Linked DNA regions of Drosophila melanogaster. The protein of the gene in region 1 purifies or fractionates together with the protein of each later gene. This does not show direct contact. Each region holds a gene or a part of one and is shown on either strand. Other genes may lie near its edges.

Region 1 (5,379 bases):
ATCTAGTCTGTGCTTCCAGAGGTTCCCGCTTTCCAACCATGGAGTTAAAATCTAAAATTATTAACTGAGGTTTCATCCTCAACTAGGAATTCTTTTCATGCAAGAGCACTTGAATTAGATTCATCTAACTTCATCTTTAAAACATAAATAGTTCACCTATTTTGGAATACAAAATCAATCTTTATGCTAATTACCGAAAGTAATTAACTTAAATATCGAAAGGGCTTTGTCGAAGACCGTTTTGCGTGTAGAATAGTGCGCCGATTGGTTCAAAACGAAGCCCAAAGCAATTTTTGATACGACGGTCTCTGATTCGACAAATCCCAGTTGATTCAGTAACTTTTACGTGCAATTACAAAAGAAACCAAGGAGTATAAAGCATTATATTGTAATTCTGTGGGCTACGTCGAAGACCGATTTCCGCTTGTTGCCATGTGTCTATTGGTTCAAATCGAAGCCCAAAGCAATTTTTGATACGACGGTCTCTGATTCGGCATTCCACAGTCGTCTGAGTAACTTTTACGTGCAATTACAATGCAATTAAATGAAAGTGGTAGTGCAATTGTGTAGAAATAAAACGTCTTAAAATTAACCCACATTTTCTTTGCTTCTTTTGCAGTACAAGTTGTGCAAGGTCAAGAAGACCCAGCTGGGAGCCAAGGGAGTTCCTTTCCTGGTTACACACGACGGTCGCACCATCCGCTACCCGGATCCCCTGATCCACGCCAACGATTCCGTGCAGGTGGACATTGCCTCTGGCAAGATCACCGACTACATTAAGTTCGATTCTGGTAAGCATCCGCTATCGTAGATCATCGTGTTCATTGGCTGGTTCGAAGACCACAAAACGCTCCTCGAAAGTTGCGTGGTTCAAAAACAATAAGCCAAAAGCAATTTTTGTCACGACGGTCTCTGATGCGGCATTCCAAAGTCGCTTCAGTAACTTTTACGTGCAATGACAGTCGCCCAATATTATTAACCAAGTCGTATGATTCCAACTAACTGGTATATTTCTCCGTCTCCACAGGCAACCTCTGCATGATCACCGGAGGCAGGAATTTGGGACGTGTCGGCACCGTTGTCAACCGTGAGCGTCATCCCGGTTCCTTCGACATTGTGCACATTAAGGACTCGCAAGGTCATGTGTTCGCCACCCGTTTGACCAACGTGTTCATCATTGGCAAGGGCAACAAGCCCTACATCTCCCTGCCTAAGGGCAAGGGTGTCAAGCTGAGCATTGCGGAGGAGCGCGACAAGCGTCTGGCCGCCAAGACCCACTAAGGCGCAGGAGTTTAAGGACTTTTACCTTTTAGCATAACACTCTGTACGTTTAGCTACGGAATTACAAGCCGAGAACGTAACACATGTGTTTTCTTTTGCAATGGAAGTGGTTGATCTATTTGTTGGCCAAGAGTTTAAAGAATCAGATGTTTGCTTTGAAATGTGTAAAAAAAAAAACATGGGACATGTGTGACGTGACTTAAAGCTATTCAAACGTGACTTTATAGGAACTTTAAAATCAATTCACAATGCCTTAGAACTGGACGTAAAGTAAAACTACCCTCAAAATTGACATTTCAGAGCTTGAAAGACTAGTTTTATCTATGACACGAATTCAAAAGTTGCGTTTGTTAAGTAAATATTTCAAAAGCAGATTTTAATGAGGACTTAAATTTCAATTTATGATGATGATTGTGTTATTCTTGTTTACGTCTTCATCTCACTTATTTCATTCATATCATAAAAAAAGGGCAATAGATTATTGAAAAAAGGAATTCATTTATTTTACGGGGGGGGGGGGGGTGAGTTTTAACCCCTCTGTGGTGCGTGGGGGCTGGAGTTGGCGCCCAAATAATCGATAACCCGCCCCCAGCATCGATAGAACGGCCGCTGCGAAAGCTCCGGTCACACTGCTCAGTGGGCTGCTGCTTCTGCTGCAGAGAATTATCATTGTATTTCGTGTGGTGAAAGGCTTTGTGCGCGAACATTGTGCGTCCCCGGATCAGAACTCGCTTCGAAGTAAGTACCCGACCATCCCGGTGGCGCATTCCGCCGCTGGGCGGAAGCCCTAGCAGAGCCCCCGCCCCCAAAAGCAAATCATATGCGAAGAAGAAAACACGAAAATGCTGGCCACCCATACAACGATGCGCTGCACACACCGATGCACACCGACACATACGCACACGGGCGAACATCATATGTTGATAAGTTGGCGACAACAACAACAACAGCAGCAGCAAGAACAACAAGAACAACAATGCATGTGAATCATTTGTAGGGATTTGTCTGTTTGCTCGCGAGTGGTATTAAATGTCGGCCTATTTAGCAAGACCCCTGCTTTGAACTCACAGCGATACATATGCACTTACAGATATGTCCAAGGCCTTGAACAATCCCGGTGGCAACGGAGGAGGCGGTGGCCCCCATCGGGACTATGGTGCGATGGCCGATTCAACGCCCGAAGTGAGCTTTGCGGCAGCCGGCGGTTCGTCCGGCTTCAGTCCGACGGAATTCATGTCTCTTAGTGAGGACATTGGCCACAACATCACTGCCATCCACAGCAGCACCAAGCAGTTGGAGAAGCAGCTGAAACTGATTGGCACATCCAAGGAGCAGCCAAATCTGCGGGAGAAGGTGCACACCATCAACACCAAGTGCAATGCCCGGGTGCAGACCACCAGTCAGGACTTGCAGAGGCTACAGGCCGTTGTGCGGCACGGAGATCGCCAGCAGAAGCTGCAGCTGGAGAAGCTCACCCGGGAGTTCCATGGCGTGGTGGAGAAGTACTCCAATCTGCAGCGACGCATCTCATCGGCCATGCGGCAGACCCTGCAGCAGGCGCAGCAATTTGCCGATCAGGTGGTGGAGACCAACGCCCGTGCTGAGCTGCTGCAGCAACAGCGCTTGGAGCAGGCCCATCTCCAGCAGGAGCACGACATGCTCGACGATCGGCGGCGGCAGGTCGAGCAAATAGAGTCGGACATCATCGATGTCAACCAGATCATGACCCAGCTGAGTGGACTGGTGCACGATCAGGGGCAGCAGATGGGTGAGTAATCTCCATCCAAGTGGGGCTCAACGACCGCAAATCGAGAAACCACAAGCCGTAATTAGGGCTCTCACTTTACGACCCAAATGCACGCAGTTCCACATATTTAATAGCGTCCAAATGGAGAAATCCATTGGTAAAACAAAATATTCAGAGCTTATCAGTTGCTTAAAGGTTGCATAGCAAATCTCTCAAATGAGTTGATAAGTAAACATGTGCAAGAAATTATGAATCATTGACTTTGCTTCAATAACAATGCACATTTCGAAATTGATTGGAATTATCAACAACGACTTAGACGTTTTAATTTTCCATATCTTTTATGAAAACCCGTGTCATTTGGCAAGTAATGTGTGCATACGCTTATCATATCGTTTAATTTAACTTCCTGTTTATTTGAACAGTAATCAATTATTTCGGGTCTTACAAAAATAAGAAGAAACTGATAAGAGCAAGCAAATATTATAAAATATTTACTGACTGCTATTACAGGTTTAAATATCCAAAATTTTTCACTCCTTATTAGTAATAGTTTTGAAAATTTCTAGGTGCTTGCTTGATGGAAGGTTTTTGTACTTGTTTTTGATTACACTTTCTAAGCAAATCTCAATTTCTTTCCAGATTTCATCGAGAACAGTATTGAGCAGACGGCCGCCAACGTTGAGGATGGCACCTCGGAACTGGCCAAGGCGGCCAGGAGTCGCCAGAGCTACCGGCGCAAGATCTTGATACTCCTGGTGATCGCTGTGATAATAGGTTTAATCGTAACTGGCGTTATCGTTGCCAAACTGAACAGTTAATTGTTTTATTTTTACGCCCATATTCAACAAACACACGCAAACATACACAACCCACACACACACACACGCATAGATTTTTGTAAAACGATTTTTATAAGAAACAAAATATTCGATCGTTGAGAACTCTGTTTAATCACCAAGTGAGCAAAGACAACAAGAATGTAGAGGAAAAGCTAAAGCAAAAAATAAAAACAAATACCATATTTATAATTATACATATATATCTACATATATATACATAAGTAAATAAGGATACTGAATCCCACTTAACTTGCATATAAACAATATTCAGCGCTTTTAAATGTTAATTATTTCTTGTTAAAAACGATTATCGCGAGCAATCTGAGTTTTGCATTGAAATTTGTAAAATTTTTGTGTTTAGTTTCGAGAAAGCGGAAGGCGGATTGCTGAAGCCGTCTGCGGCTTTAGTATTCCCTTTTGATATATGTTACAAGTTATATATAAGTGAGCCAGCAATCGAAAATAAAATAAACCGAACAAACCAATTTGAGTGATTTGAAAAGCGCGCCAAGTGGCTCAAAGAGGATGCAATAGGTTGGCAGTCCGCTTAAATTGATAGGACGTAATCGATAGACTTATCGGTGTGGGGCAAAACCAAAACAACGTGCTGCACAGCAAAACATTTATATTTCGTTTTCTTGATAAAAATTTGTCATTTGTAAAGATGCCACAGGGAAAATTCAAGAAGGCCAAGCTACCAGCAGCGATACAGAAAAAGAAGAACCAAAAGCAAGCTGCTTTCACCCGTCGATCAAGTGATTACCCACATGCTTAACAATCTTCTCCAAATTCTATGTTTTTGTTTTATTAATTTACAGATGCGCCAATTCAGGCGAAAAAGGCCAAGTTCAATGAGACGCAGAAGATCAAGTCCGTTATTTCGAAGTCGGTCAACAAGAGCGTGGAGAGCGAACTGCGCTCCCGCGCCCACGAGGGCTACATCCAGTTGAGCAAGGCCCAGGAGGCGGTGGCCAAGCACCACGCCTCCCAGGCGAAGGCGGCTGCGGCGGCCAGTACCGCCAAGTCCGCGGAATAGCTTACTCTAGGCATAAGTACTCTGTTGATAACCAAATGACCTGCATATTGTATAGTAAAACATTTCTAAAACTATTTCCTTTGTTATAGCATCGATTGGAACCCAAAGGAAACGAATTCTCCTCTTAAGATTGCCAAAAGGATTAACAAATCCGCCTAATATCAGAGCATATGAGCTTTAAAGCGTTGTTAGTATCTGCAATCTCTCAACAGTCTACTAAATTAAGAAAGTTACTTAAATTTTGTAGTTCTCGCTGAGTTTTAGGATTGCATTTCTATTGATGGTCAGGTGAACCTAATATTTGATACTAAATTCATTCATTAGAAGCTATACTAAATGAACAAATTCATTTTCAATGTTAGTATGAACTATTTTATGTTATAAAAAGTTAAATGTTGCCAAATGCAGAGTACATTGTCTTACAATCTTGAATATTTTATTCAGTATGTTTCACAATGAATGCAAATTACTAA
Region 2 (4,251 bases), 7.7 Mb from region 1:
GGCTCATCCGGATAGCGTTCGCCGCACTCGATCTTTAGTGAATACATTCGATTCTCGAATGGTGTCTGTAATAAACACAAGAGTTTGCCATTAGCTTTAAATGATTCTTGAATGATTCAATACTCTGTGCACTTGCGGCCAGAGTGTCGATGAGTCAGGCGCTCCCATTCCCCTTAGTCCACCGCTTCTCCACTTTAGTTGCCAATGCAACTAAACCAAGTTGGGGCTCTGTTAGAAGACCCTGCCACCCAAACTCCTCAATGATTCATGCGGCGGCGCGCGCAACACTTCTAGACTATACAAAAATTAAATGCAAATTTAGTTTTCCGCCGCTTTCCTTGCTAGTAATTCAAGGCTAGAGCCTTGTTTTCCCCAATAAATGCATGTAAAGTGGAATATTTTCTTGTGAATAAAATAAGAATAAATTAGCACGAGCGTTTCTATACCTATATTTTCTAGCAATAATCCCAGATTGCAGCTTGTAGTTTTCATATAAGATTAAAATCTAGCAGAGGTACATTTTATATTCATATTTACCACATAAGAAGCTAATGAAGCCAATGACTTTTGAAACCCACACTCACAATGAGTTGCATCAGCGGTGCTAATGAAATGCAAATATTATCAAATTCCATCGCACTGAAGAGATAAACTGCCTTCAAAGATACAAGGTGCTATCCAAACTGAATGGTCTGCGCAATCTAAGCGATAAGATGTCAATAATCCTACAGAATTGCCTAATAAACCGGGCTTATCTGGTGACGTAGCGAGGAAAGTCCAATCGATATGGAAACTTACTCTAGGCGGACCGATGATCATGCCGATCCAGTAGGTGAGCGTCATGTCGTCGTCGTTCTCCAGGCCCCACGATATGGTGCCATCGCCCACGCCCTTCTGGCCCTGATCCAGCTCCTCCAGTAAGCGGAAATTCCGTGGCACCACTGCAATGTGAAACGGCAAAGAGGTGAGAACTCGATGACATAATGCATTTTCACTGAAAAACTTAAATCTTTAAATATAGTCATTAAGTTAAATGTCAGCTTGTTTTTAATTTTCTGGTTGGCGGGGCAAGAAAGTACTTAGCTTTCTAAATAATTATAATCACGGGCTCGTACAGATAAGATACATATATATAATTATAAACGACAGTTTTATCTATTTAGAAACAAACTAGTAAGGACTGTTCTACACATTTTCTATGGTATAAACCATTTTCGGTGATATTTCGGCGACTTTTCCTCTCAGTGTGGGGTCATATGGGTACGTGTTGTTGTTGTTTTGCGCTCTGCTTCTCGTGTTGTTTTTGTTTTCGGCCGTGTGACTTTGTACGCATTTTCGTGCAGAGAACACAAGTCAAAAAAAAAAAATGCGAAGCGCAGATATTAAGCACGATGGGCGCGGGGGGAGGGTGTGTCGGCGGGGGCGGGGCGAAAGCATAATTTCTGCATTTGCAAAAACAATCCAGGCAAATGTAAATGGCAGCTAATTTAATTAGAAAAGACAAGGCAGCTTGCAAAAACGCAAGTGTGCAAAAAATAAGGAAAATAAAGAAAAAACTTTAAGTATGAAGGCAAGAAGAAGAGCGTGCGCGAGCGAGCGAGCGAGAGCCACATAGTGAGGAAGGAGCGGGGATGATATTTCGGAAAATGTCAAGTCACGAAGCCCAATTGCAACGGAGTTTTTCCAACGCCAAACGCGGCCAAGGAAAATTGCAAGAGCAGCGTGGTCCGCTGGCGAAAATAAATTTCCATTCGCCCATTTCGCTTTTATCGGCTTTCGTCTTTCGCCCTTGCTTTCGTCTTCTTTTTGCCCGTTTTGCACCACACACACAATCACATTGCGGTCCGCTTGTCGGGTCCGTAGCGGCGGAAAAATCGCCGCCGGTCAGCGGGAAATGCAGAAAACGGATGGCCAACAACTCCGGGCGTGCGGGGATCGCATTTTTAAGCTGCCAAATTGCTAATTTATCAATTTTATTTCTTACCAACGCCGGTACTTGATGTATTCGCCATTGTGGTTAATGCTAAGTGCTAAAATACCGTAAAAGTGTGCTAACGCGTTTCCAGTGCGATGTGACCAGTGCGGTTTAGGTTTTGCTTGGCTTGCTTAACAACTCTGATTTTTACACCGTTAACAGTGGTAACACTTAACAGCGCCGTCAAGTGCAATATTTGGTCACTAATTAAAAATCATTATTTAACAATATATAGCATATTCTCTGAAAATAAAAAGGAAATTTAATAGTTGCATTAGCTGATAAGTTTGTCATAATATATGGTCATACCAAAAACGGCAGCCAGCTGCTCTGCTATCAGTGCTGTTAACTAACATGACACTCTGTCCAATGTTAACGCGTCAGCTTTTTTAAAAACAAACCAATTGCAACCGATTAAATATTAATTTGCGAATATTCTCGGGCCCATAAATTAATGCGGAATCAATAGGTGTAACGACATGGAGAGCTTGTACCACCAAACCAACAATGTGGTAAAGGACATCGAGCGCGATTTCCAGCGACTGAGTCAGCTCAGTGCCCAGGAATCGCTTGACGTGGAAAACGGCATTCAATTGAAGATTACCCAGGCGAACGCGTGAGTTCTACAATGATATATATTATCCCAAGAGGAGTTTGTATTATTAAATAAATCTTTTGTGTTTAGAAACTGCGATCGGTTGGATGTGCTGTTGTATAAGGTGCCACCTTCGCAGCGACAAAGCTCCAAACTTCGTGTGGATCAGCTGAAATATGACCTGAGACACCTGCAGACATCACTGCAGACGGCGCGGGAACGAAGACAGCGACGGATGCAGGAGATCTCCGAGAGGGAACAGCTGCTGAATCACAGATTCACGGCAAACAGCGCGCAGCCGGAGGAAACGCGCCTGCAATTGGACTACGAACTGCAGCATCATACGCAGCTGGGTAACGCCCATCGGGGTGTGGACGACATGATTGCCTCGGGCAGCGGCATTCTCGAGAGCCTGATCTCGCAGAGAATGACGCTGGGCGGAGCGCACAAGAGAATCCAGGCGATAGGCAGCACACTGGGTCTGTCCAATCACACGATGAAACTTATTGAACGCCGGCTGGTCGAGGATCGTCGGATATTCATCGGAGGAGTGGTGGTCACCTTGCTTATCATCGCCCTGATCATCTATTTCCTAGTGCTCTAATCTGAAGACATCGCGTTTAGTTGAGTTTAAATTAAATGTACTCTATTTTGTAAAATGTTAAATTAACAATTGATCAATTGTGGATTAATCCTCGGCCTCCAGTGAGATATTGCTGCCGAACCGCTGGTACAGATGAGCCTTCAGCTCGTCCATTTCCGCCTTGATAACCTTCGCCTTGGCCTCCACGCCGGCGATCTCCTTGAGCACCTGCTCCTTGGTCTCCTTCAGCATGTCCTGTGTTTTCTCCAGCTTGTGCGAGAGGAACACCTCGCCAACCAGGAACGGTATGTCCTCGTCCTCGTCGAACAGCTCAATCTCCTCCAGCGCCTCCTCCAAGCTCTTCAGCTCATTGCGCTTCGTTTCCAGCTCCGCTTTGAAGTCATCCATGCGGGCGTTGTGCTTCGCAAAGCGGTTGATCCGCTGCTGATCCTCGAAGGAGATGTGCACGTCATCGTGCTGAAAATGCGATTTAAAATATATATCATAAATTTCAATTGAGCAGATGCACAGAAAAAACCATGACAAAGTGAGGTTACTTTTCATCTTAGTCAGCTGTCCTTTGATGATTCACCCATACTCACGTTCTGGAACACTTTGTTCGTGCCGCTCGCTACTTTTGCTGCCATTTTCCCGTTGGTTTTAATTAATTTAATAAATAATTTATGATATTTTACAAACAGTTGCTGTTTTCGGTGCTTCGCAAAAAATTTTATTTGTTTAACATTTTAGTGTTGACAAACGGAGAGCAGTTAACAGAGAGAACGAGGCGTTAGGCTATTTTACAGAAGTGATTCCGCTTTAGCAATTTATTGTTATATCTTCAGCACTTATATTTATTTAAATAGTTATGTTTAATTTTTTATGACTATGTTGAATATAAAATATATAAAATATTTAATAAGTAGGGTTAATAATTTAGATATTTGCTACCTTTAATTTTGTCACTTAACAGTGTAAGTAACGTGTAAAAAAAATGATTTTGTGTAATCTTACAGTGGAGTACATTTAAAATGTACATATCCTGTGTAAAAACATTTTCAAGTGCAGTTACTTTTTAAAAACAAAAAAAATTTGCTA

Evidence for each region. The genes of interacting proteins can lie anywhere in the genome.
Region 2: the proteins of Syx13 (region 1) and Membrin purify together in Drosophila melanogaster (affinity purification with mass spectrometry, with the first as the bait; one large-scale study listed by BioGRID). This does not show direct contact.

The regions. Positions count from the first base shown.
Region 1 is NT_037436.4:13,042,547-13,047,925, forward strand, and holds Syx13 (syntaxin 13), read left to right. Parts: upstream 1-1,887; 5' UTR 1,888-2,019; intron 2,020-2,091; exon of another isoform or gene 2,092-2,303; intron 2,304-2,371; 5' UTR 2,372-2,373; coding exon 2,374-3,049; intron 3,050-3,670; coding exon 3,671-3,849; 3' UTR 3,850-4,348; downstream 4,349-5,379. Other genes in the region: RpS4 (ribosomal protein S4), read left to right, coding at 620-791, 1,028-1,281; CG11279 (uncharacterized protein), read left to right, coding at 4,535-4,625, 4,689-4,906.
Region 2 is NT_037436.4:5,364,145-5,368,395, forward strand, and holds Membrin (membrin), read left to right. Parts: upstream 1-2,310; 5' UTR 2,311-2,454; coding exon 2,455-2,591; intron 2,592-2,660; coding exon 2,661-3,174; 3' UTR 3,175-3,237; downstream 3,238-4,251. Other genes in the region: Uev1A (Ubiquitin-conjugating enzyme variant 1A), read right to left, coding at 1-65, 799-941, 1,985-2,012; Pfdn4 (prefoldin 4), read right to left, coding at 3,259-3,630, 3,756-3,800. UniProt on the Drosophila melanogaster protein: Involved in transport of proteins from the cis/medial-Golgi to the trans-Golgi network.